2 linked regions of the Drosophila melanogaster genome follow. Changing the gene in region 1 together with any one later gene gives a genetic interaction. Each region holds a gene or a part of one and is shown on either strand. Other genes may lie near its edges.

The links.
Region 2: of Buffy (region 1) and prel, changing one suppresses a phenotype caused by changing the other (phenotypic suppression), as found in Drosophila melanogaster (one study listed by BioGRID).

The regions. Positions count from the first base shown.
Region 1 is NT_033778.4:11,677,607-11,682,717, forward strand, and holds the start of Buffy (buffy), read left to right. Parts: upstream 1-1,885; 5' UTR 1,886-1,980; intron 1,981-5,111. Other genes in the region: Roc2 (regulator of cullins 2), read right to left, coding at 600-759; Tret1-2 (trehalose transporter 1-2), read left to right, coding at 1-47, 108-292.
Region 2 is NT_033778.4:9,422,024-9,426,854, forward strand, and holds prel (preli-like), read left to right. Parts: upstream 1-2,063; 5' UTR 2,064-2,243; intron 2,244-2,305; exon of another isoform or gene 2,306-2,308; 5' UTR 2,309-2,437; intron 2,438-2,515; 5' UTR 2,516-2,577; coding exon 2,578-2,892; intron 2,893-3,223; coding exon 3,224-3,619; 3' UTR 3,620-4,084; downstream 4,085-4,831. Other genes in the region: CG13955 (uncharacterized protein), read right to left, coding at 395-553, 633-855, 943-1,245, 1,304-1,599.

The sequences.
Region 1 (5,111 bases):
CTGGTTCTGCACGTTTGTGGTAACCAAGACCTTCCAGGACCTCACGGGTGCGTAGTGCAACTAACTAAAATAAGTGGTGTAATAATATTTAATATTTTTGTGTGTAGTTGCTATGGGCGCGCATGGAGCCTTCTGGCTATTCGGCGCCATCTGCATCGTGGGTCTGTTCTTTGTGATTATTTTTGTGCCCGAAACGCGGGGCAAGTCGTTGGAGGAAATTGAGCGAAAGATGATGGGCCGTGTGCCCATGTCCTCGGTGGTCAACATCAAGCCATTTCCTTTCAACATGTAAATGGCGTGTTGCTAAGGATCTGAGATGCGTTCAAACCAAATAGTAGGGTGGTGTCTTCGTGCTTAAATTGTGAATTTTTAGGCAAGCGCAATAAATCAAAATTACCGTTGAAAAATACACCAATTGAAAGTTTTTAGGCACTTATGTATATGTGAGTAAAAAACATTTTCGCTTGCGATATGCACAAGATAGTGTTAACAAAGACACCAGTATAATAATATTCTAGTTACATATTGTTACATATGTAGGACCTTTTATTATTATTAATACTCAAGATTAGAGTTTTGAAATCAGTGGTATTGCTCACCCATAACTTGAACACGGCAAATGGCACAGATATCGCATTCCACATCCCAACTCCACATTGCAACTGCGTTCCATTTCTTCAGCGTAAACATTTTTTCCGGTTTGCCGGCATCTCCGTCGTCTGTGGGCCTATCCACTGAGTTTTCTGGATCATCAGCCATGTCAAAAAAGTCTGGGAAACTGACCAATCCACTGGGCTAATGAGATTCGGTTTTTTAATATTTTTTTTTTGTTTCTTGTGTATATCCTCCTGTATGGGAGATTTTAATTAGTATTACAAATAGCGGTTTAAAAATGTTTTTTAATTTTACAATACAATATATTAATTTTTTAAGGTTCTTTTATTTTTAATTTCCCTTTAATGTTTTATGTTTTTATTTTTATTTGGTAAACAATTTTAAGTTTTATTCGACCCCGTTTTTAAATATTTTTCTAACTGTTAATTTATAGGGTATTAGAAACTCTAAACCGGACCTATCTTAGTTATTGATTATTAGCAAATGGCAAAGTGGTCTAACCAGGTCCGGACATCAGTACGTAACTCAGGTTTAGGATTTTAAATAAGGTAATTATACAAATATTAGGAATATTACTCGAAAAATATGCTTAATAGGCGTAGGAGAGCTACAAGTAGAAAAGTTCAAAAATGATCAACAGGTGTTGCTTCCTTCCAACTGGTGGCGATAATTCTACGAACAAACGGTATATTAGTATTAGGGAACAGAGTAACGGGTATCTGATAGTTGAGCCATTCGACTAAGCGCATTCTTCTTGATTGTTTTTTGTTTTATGAATATTGGTAGCTGCGGAATAGGGGGATAGACTATAAAGCCTCTCACTTATCCCTGGTAAAAATGTAATTTACTTTCGTAGCAAGTGGCTGATACGAATTTTAATGTTTTGCTCAACTTGCCAAAAAGTTACTTCTTCCTCCGAGAACAAAGAAATGCCATTCTCAGTTGTATACGAAGGAAAGGTTATCACAGTGTTCGTTAAGTTGTTAACCTCACTCCTACTTCTTGCTTAGTTTCGGGCAAATGATAAGGAACCGCCGGTTTGACTTACCAACAAATAAGAAGTCGAAATAATTGAATGTAAACAATAGCAAGCCAAAAGTCAGTGTGGCCACACCAAAACAAGGGAAAACTATTTTCAGTGTTGCCACAGCCATTTAGGGGATACATTCACCTTATATGCACGGACACACCTATCGACGACCGATAATTAAATATCGATAAGGCGGTTAATTTGTTTTGTGATTTGGTTTTCGCTTACTTCAACTTCGGTTCAATTCATTTTCAGCCTTCGACGAGTGCGGAACGTTTGCGGCAGCGTTTTTCGGCCGCGCTTCTCAAGTTTCAGCTTGCGTTGGGAAATAAACGGTTGGTTTCCAATGCACTAACACAAATTTGACAATATAAATTATTTGCGGTTTCCGGTGATTACTTTAAAATGAAAACCTTCGAACGACAAAAGCTGACCGTGAATATACAGCAACCTGATTCCGATTCCGTTGCCAACCAGAACGCGCCCCGCATAAGTAATTAAGTAATTTCCATGCCGCTCAGCCGGAATCTAACAGTTCAGCCTTATTATTCGCCCATCGTAAACTGAAATTGAAAAAGATAATGGCAAATGACCCATTATCACTATCAGCACAAATGGCGCATCCGACAATCAAAGATAAACATCCCGTATCAATGCGATCCGATGCCAAATGTGCGATAAGCCGATTAAGGGAGTGGTATTTTAGTAAATAAATGTGGAGAAATTAGTTGTTTTTCACAGTAAGCAATAAATTTTCAAATAGCAAATGTAAAATCTACATAAGCCTTACAAAATGACGACGTGTTAAATGCCAATTAAGAGCAAATATCACCTGTGGCTAATGAAAATGTGCAATTTAATACAACCGCAAACAAATGTGGAAGTAACAAATAATGAAAATTTAAACAGATAAAGGTCATTTCGTAGACTTAAACACAAATGAGTGTCAAAAGCGATACGGATAAATATCAATAATTGCAAAATAAAACCCTTGAGTTGAACGCCCTTTTTTTTAACCGGAATAAAGAAGTAGCAGCTGAAGGAGAAACAGGCCAACAGCAAGTTTAATTTAATTAAATTTCGTTGTTTTCTGTGTGCGTGTGTGAGTGTGTTGTTGTTGCTTTTGTTGTTGGCTTTGCTGGATAATCAACGTAATGCTTCCACCCACATCGCGCGAAAGAGATAGCACTAGCGCAATTGACTTTGCCATAAATGATTTTTGGTTTTTTTTCTGCTATTTCTTTCTTGTTTTTTCATGCTTTTCTGTTTGTTTGTTTGTTTGTAAGTTGGTCGCTGGCAATTAGTGGAACGACAAATGTTTATTGACAAAGGCATTGGACACTTTGATTTACCGGGTCTATTCGGTTAAATTGTTTATGATTTTTAAGCGAAAATTATAGATATATGTACATGTGTATGTACATATGGGGGTGTTGTATCTCAGAGATATCGATGGTAAATGTGACACTTTGTGGGTGTATCTATAATCGTATAAAGTGGAACTCTAGTCGCTAAAAAATAAAATCAAACTCTTAAAGGCAGTTTTGTTTTCCTTATAAGCTAGATCGATAAATTTCCACAGCTTACCAGTAAATTTTCATTTAGAGCAGTTTCGAGTATATACAAAAGTGTTTAAAATTTTGCATGTGAAACTATAGCAAAGTTTCGAACATGTACATATAAATTTCAGAAAGCATATTTTAACAGGTTGTACATATATTCAAGATTTGAATGTCATAATTCATTTCAAAAGTAACTATCTGGTATATTTAAAAACCAAATTCCATCACAAAAGTGTGTTTATTTAATGTTTAAAAATGCCAATAAATGCTCAATTGCAACACCCATTTTCCAAGTATGAGTGCAAATGTTTTAGGGATTTCGAACAAGATCACTTCATGCCCCCGATGCCACAAAGCCTCGAGAAGTAAATGCAATTAACTGGCGAAAAGCACTTGCGCCCCCTTGCCCCTCCCTTTAGACCATATTAACTTGGCTTTAACGCCGTGCACGTTCGATTTGAATGACGCACATTGGCGGCTGAATGGTTGAAAAAGTGCAAAATCAACAATTAATGAACTGAACAATGTTTGCCACCTGTAACGTCTGAGGATGGTGTAAATTTCCAATTGCAAACGATGTCAAACAGAGGCGTTTTACCGTCTGCTAATTTCCCATTTTCATTTCAAGCCGAATGGCCACAAATAATACAACAAAAAATAATGAAATAATAATAATACAACAAAAAGCAGTAAAACCGCAAGATTGCGGCTATTTGCAAGCACTTTATGTGTCGTTTATGATATAGTATTACTATGCGCTGTCACTTCGGTCCGGCGATCAAATATGCAATTAAATGTAAAAAAAAAAAAAAAAATGGCAATTTAATGAACCCACATTTGATTAACCAATCAGCAGTCGAAAGTCAAATTGCTCCAAATCGCTTGTCATGCGCTCCGCGAATTTGATTCAAGCAAACAAACTGAGAGATACAAAAAGATATGCGAAATTCCAATACGGAGTCTGCGTAACTGTCAAATGTTGTAAAAAATCAATAACACAAATGTTAACATGCGCACAATGCTAAAAACGCATAAAAACGAGTCGAGCGGCCAATAAGGTTGGCAAAAAATGGCAAAACAAAAAATGAAATCAAATAAAATGAAATGAAATGAAATGCCTGGCGACGCTTTAAGGCAACTCGGTTTGGGCCAATCCAAGCCCGAGATAAAGCATTTGACACTTTTGGCTAATAAAAGTTGCTAATGAGTGCGCGCAACTCGCCGATTCCGAGTTGTTGATTTAGTTATATTTTTTGTGATCCGGCCAATCGGAAAGCATTAATAATTGGGTGTTGAGAGAGCAGTTTTACTGCACTAATTGTGCATAAATAAATAACAGCTTGTGTAATCCAATTAATTTGCAAATAGTTAAGTTGAATCGCCGAGGGAGAAGTTATCAAATGGGTAGGCTGTCTAGAAGTTAAAAGGCTATTTTATTTCCTTTAAATTGCTGTATTTTTATGAAAATACAGGTATACAAATTAAAGTTCAGGCATATTAAAAATGAAATTAAAAATAATAAAAGTTATTAACTGCTTAACCAAGAAAGAGATCATATATGTACATATATACATTTTCTAAGCATTTTATGTTTCGTGGTTTAAGAAGTATTATATATAATCTTGCATTTGAAATATGACATACGATTATGACATGTTTTCAAATTTATGGTTTTCGAAGTTCTTTTCATTTTTAATTATTGGATTTTTTAATATAAAGAATTTCTTTCTTACTATAGAACATACATCAATTCAATTATCATAAATCGTTATACATTTGATCTTTTAGGAGTTTAGTTTGAGCTTCAAGATTTTCTATCCAAATTCTCGTTTTTCTTGCACTGAACTTTGAAATAAAACCTAAAAAAATGAGTTGCTTGCTCCCGTTTTGATTAAGTATAATGT
Region 2 (4,831 bases), 2.3 Mb from region 1:
AGCTTCATTTATTTTATTGTGGAAAAATATTGTTTTACTTATCTTAAGAAGATTGATTAATATGGTGCTTATATATTTTTTATTTCGGAGAGGTTGGTTCGCATTACAATATCTTGACTGTACTGGCATTTCGCATTTGCATATTAGCCCGACGGCGGCTGGCAAAGTTGGTAGTTGGGGTTAGCCTGGTCAGCTTCCCTGGTGACGTTGATGGTGGGCATTATCACTGGTTTTATGCCGCCCGTGCATGATACGCTTTTCCTTATCGCCGCCATCGCTTGATTTATATCAGCCGTAAATATAATTGCAATATGGTATTCAAATGTGAGGCGTGACATGAGTGCGTGCCCATCGATCGATGGCAATGGCGATGACGATGTGTCCACCACTGGTACTAGCGCACTTCCTTGCCGTACGGTTGCTTCGGCTGCTGGCCAAGCACACACCCAGTGCCCAGGTATTTCCGATCCCGTGCCAGATCCTCTTCCCTGCGAGCAGCTCGCTCGGCAGCCGTGTGCGTCATGTACTGCTGGTGCCAATCGCGATTGTGAATCTGGAGCAATGAGAAGGGGTTGGGTTGTTGGCATTGTGACTAAGAGGAAAGGCAGTTGGAGGCGGGCATGCAAACTCACCCTGGCGCAACGCTTCTCCATGAGCTCCTCGTAAATCTGGCGGTCTTCGAGGATGTTGTAGCCCACATCCTCACGGATATTGGCCTGTGCTTGCCGAGCGCTGATGGTAAGATTCCATTTGATCTGATCCTGCAAGTCAATGAGCTGCTGGCGCCGTTTATCCTTGAGCTTCTTCAGATCTTCTTGTTTCTTGAGCACATCCATTTCGGCAGCCAGTTCCAGGCTATGAAAGGTAGTTGATTGGATTACCAACATAATCCATTCGATTAGTATATTAACTAACTGAATCTCTAGGGAACCTGGTACTCACGCCTGGGAACATTCCCGTTGGTCTGCCAACACCTCCTTGGCGAACTGGGCCTTCTGCTCCCGATCAGTGTCTAGATTGTGGGCTTGGCACCTGTTCTCAATCAAGTTGCGCAGTTTCAGCTCATGCTGCTCCTGCTGGGCCTTACTTTCGTCCAATCTCTGCCAGACGCGCTGCCAAAGAATCTCCACACAGGCCTGGCGGCGTTTGAGCGCCTTTTTCTCCTCGATTTGATGGAGTTGGGCTTGCTTGGACTCCAGCAGGATCTCCTTGGTTAGCATGTGACGATGGGCCTCGGAGTTCTCACTGAAAGTGAGGTGATTTCAGATGGAAAAGGACTTAAAATTCTACACTCAAAACCTACATCTCCCTTTGCTGCTTCTTTACTTTGACCAGCTCCATTTCGGCCTCCTCCCGCTTCAATCGCTCCATTTCGATCCATTCGTGTCGCTTTCGATCCGCTTCATCCGCCTGCGCCTGCAGCATCTCTGCAATCTGCTCATCCGCCTCCAAGGCTTCCTTTTGGAGAAGAAGACAGAGGTTCCAACGACGGTTGTCCAAATCCGCGTGCCATTCGTGCATCTTTTGCGCCACCTGGAAACTTATTTGAGATTTTAGATTGCGCCTATCGGTTCGTGTGAGGAATTCCACAACATCCATTTTTTTGAGCTTCTTTATTCTAATTGTACTTAATTATGTGAACTTTTGATTGTTTTCTGGTATCTAAGCACCGCACAATTCAAAAATTCCCATGACAACTATTTGTGAGTTAATTTTATAAATTTTTAAGCAATAAAATATTTGCAATAACTATTTCTCAAATAATAGATTTTATTTTTCGAAATTTAAATAATTAAATATTTAATTAAAACTAGATATGACCCAACATCCAATAAATTCATAATTTATTAGTTTAACATAGTAAATGTAGTAGTAAAATACCGGCAAACCTTTGATTTAAGTTATTTCAAGAACATTTGTCATATTTGCCAATTAATATTGAAAGCTTAAAAACATTTTTTAAGTGAAATTTAAAAGAAAACGTTTTGGCGCAAAACCAAACGTAAAATACTAAATAGTTGGGAAAATGCAAATTGTGGTATTATTGGCACACGCACCATCTGGCAACTTTGCGACCAGATGTTTCCGGATGGCCTTTGAACAGGCGTAAATTGTATCCAAATTGGCAGCAAACCCTTGGAAAGCAAGCAATGAAACCGTGTACAGACAGGAGAAGGGGGCACTGAAGGTCGAGGCAACGCAGGAATCGAGGGATATCGCCAGCAAATTGCCAGAAATTGAAGGTAACGAACCCGAAGCACCCTGTGCCGGAGTTTGTGACGCAGTTACACAACTAAATTCTTAGTAGGCGCCCAAAGTCGGGGCAACAACAAGCTGCTAGCTGAATCAACGTGTGCCAGCTAATTGGTGCCAATCACACTGCACTCTGGAGCTCTAAAACCGTAAGAGACCCCCGTTCTTGGACCCCCTCGCAAAGGTACGTCCATCGATTCGGCGATCTATTTTTAGCCGGAAACATGCGATTGCTATTGATGATTATCGGTTTATTTTTCAGATCAGGGACACGGCGGCTTTCACTTTCGAACACATCGGCGAGTTCATTGGTCCACCTTCAACATGGTCGTGGCAGCATCCACCTGCCGCACGGAGACGGTCTTCGATTACAGCTGGATGAACGTGGTGGTCGCCTACTGGAACCGCTACCCGAATCCCTCAAGCACGCACGTCCTCACCGAGGACACTATTCAGCGGGAGGTGCGCGATGGCAAGCTCTTCTCGCGCCGGCTGCTCTCCAAGACGAATCCGGTGCCGAAGTGGGGAGCTCGCTTCTACAACAATGTGCCGGTCAAGATTGTTGAGGACTCCGTGCTGGACCCGGTTAAAAAGACATTCACCACTTTCACCAGGAACCTGGGAATGACCAAGATAATGGCAAGTGATCGCACACCTACTACGATTGCTTTAAATAGGTCACATATCAATTTAAAGAAATGTCTAGAAGAATTCAGCCACTAGCTGTTGGGCATGACCGAAATACCGGCATAATACAAAAGCATAAGTGTTACCTAACAGATCGATGGTCAATGCTGTGGCATTGTTTGTTATATTTAACCCATGAAACGCATACAGAACATCGGGATCCGGTTAAGATTATTGTTCGATTTATTTTACTGCACCCTTTTAGTGAATATGTGAAATATGTTACTTAATCTTTTCAAGTTTAATTTAATCCTAATTAATGATCATTGTTTTTTCCTTTTAGAAAGTCGATGAAATTGTCGTCTACAGCGAGCAGAAGGATGGTAGTACTCTGGCGGTGCGAAGAGCATACATTAGTTCGCAGGTGTTCGGATTCTCGCGGGCCATTCGCGCCTTCGGCATCGAACGGTTTAAGGCCAATGGCAACAAGGCCTCCAATGGATTCAACTACGTGCTGCGGCGCATGTTTCCGGACAGTTTGGTTGGTGGAGGACATCACCAGCACGCGGTGACGACGACTTCGCCAGCTGGAGAACTTCCTGCAACGACCATCACCGTATCCACAACAAACGGCAGTCTCAACAACCAAGGAGCTCTCAAGAGCGCCGCAAAAGTGGGCTACGAGTTCTTCAAGAGTCATGCCTCCAAGATTGCGCAACTGTTTTCTGTCAAGAACTGAGGAACTTCTAGTCTGTACTTTTTGGAATAGATGTCGAATGGGACCGAAGATTTTAATGCTTTCGGCTCCGGGAGTTAAGGAGTTTGTGGATTTGACCAGGACGGAATTAGAATGACGAGCGGAGGAGTCGTGTCGCCGGGTGTTTTTAAACATTTATTCCAAAGCAAATCCAACTACATACTTTGCTGCATTTCATTCCGTGTGTGCGCGAATCAAACGGCTGATCTGAACGGAGACACAATTTGCTGAACACATTTCCTGCATGCTACCAAATTCTATTATTTATCGTTACTTATTTGCACTACATTATTATGTATCATTCTGTTAGGTCAAGAGCAGGAAATGAAAAGCCGTGTCAAAATTGGTATTGCTATGTAATATGTTGTATATTTTTATCAAAATATAAGAAAACCAACACTTGTAGTGGTTAAAAGTGTAGTTATTAAAATAAACTTAGTCTGTTAGAAATGTACGGCTGTTTCTTTGAACTGGGTCTAGTCATAAAAGAATTTATGTTTACAGAATTTATAATATTTATATTATACAATTTATGTAATATTTATAATATCTATTCATTTTTTTATTATTTTATTTTATTGTTATGGGCGGTTAATTTTTTAGTAAAGCTTGTTTATAATGAATTGTTAATATTAATCGGTTTTTAATGCGTACTATTTGATTCATTTGTATATATTTTTCAATTGGTTTTAAATTATTTCTCTGCAAATATTCGTTATAACCAAGGCTGCCATATTTTATACAGAAGTCAGCTGGCCCGGTGCTACCGGATCCGTGACGCAATTCCGTTGGTTTCCAACACTGCGGCTCTCCCACGCAAAAGCGCTCGCAGCTTTTAGGTAAAATCGGCGTTCTTTCGAACATTGGAGAATCCAGAGCCACCTGGAGTCGCATTCTTAATCCGAATTCCCAACCGTTCGCGTCAAAGTCGCGCAAAAACAAATAACTGCGAGTATAGTTAATCGCACGAAGAACTGCAGCTGAAATCGCGAGACAAAAGTGCACAAAAGACACAGCGAAGCAAATACCGTACAAATCGGCTGCGTTTATGGCGCACCAGGAGAAGAGAAAGAATTTGCGCCCCGCCGCCCCCGCCTTTCAACACAAAAACAACAACAACGTGGAGCAGAGCTAACACAAAAAAGATATATAGAATAAAATATATATTTTTGGTACCGCTTTTGTATGGTTAAA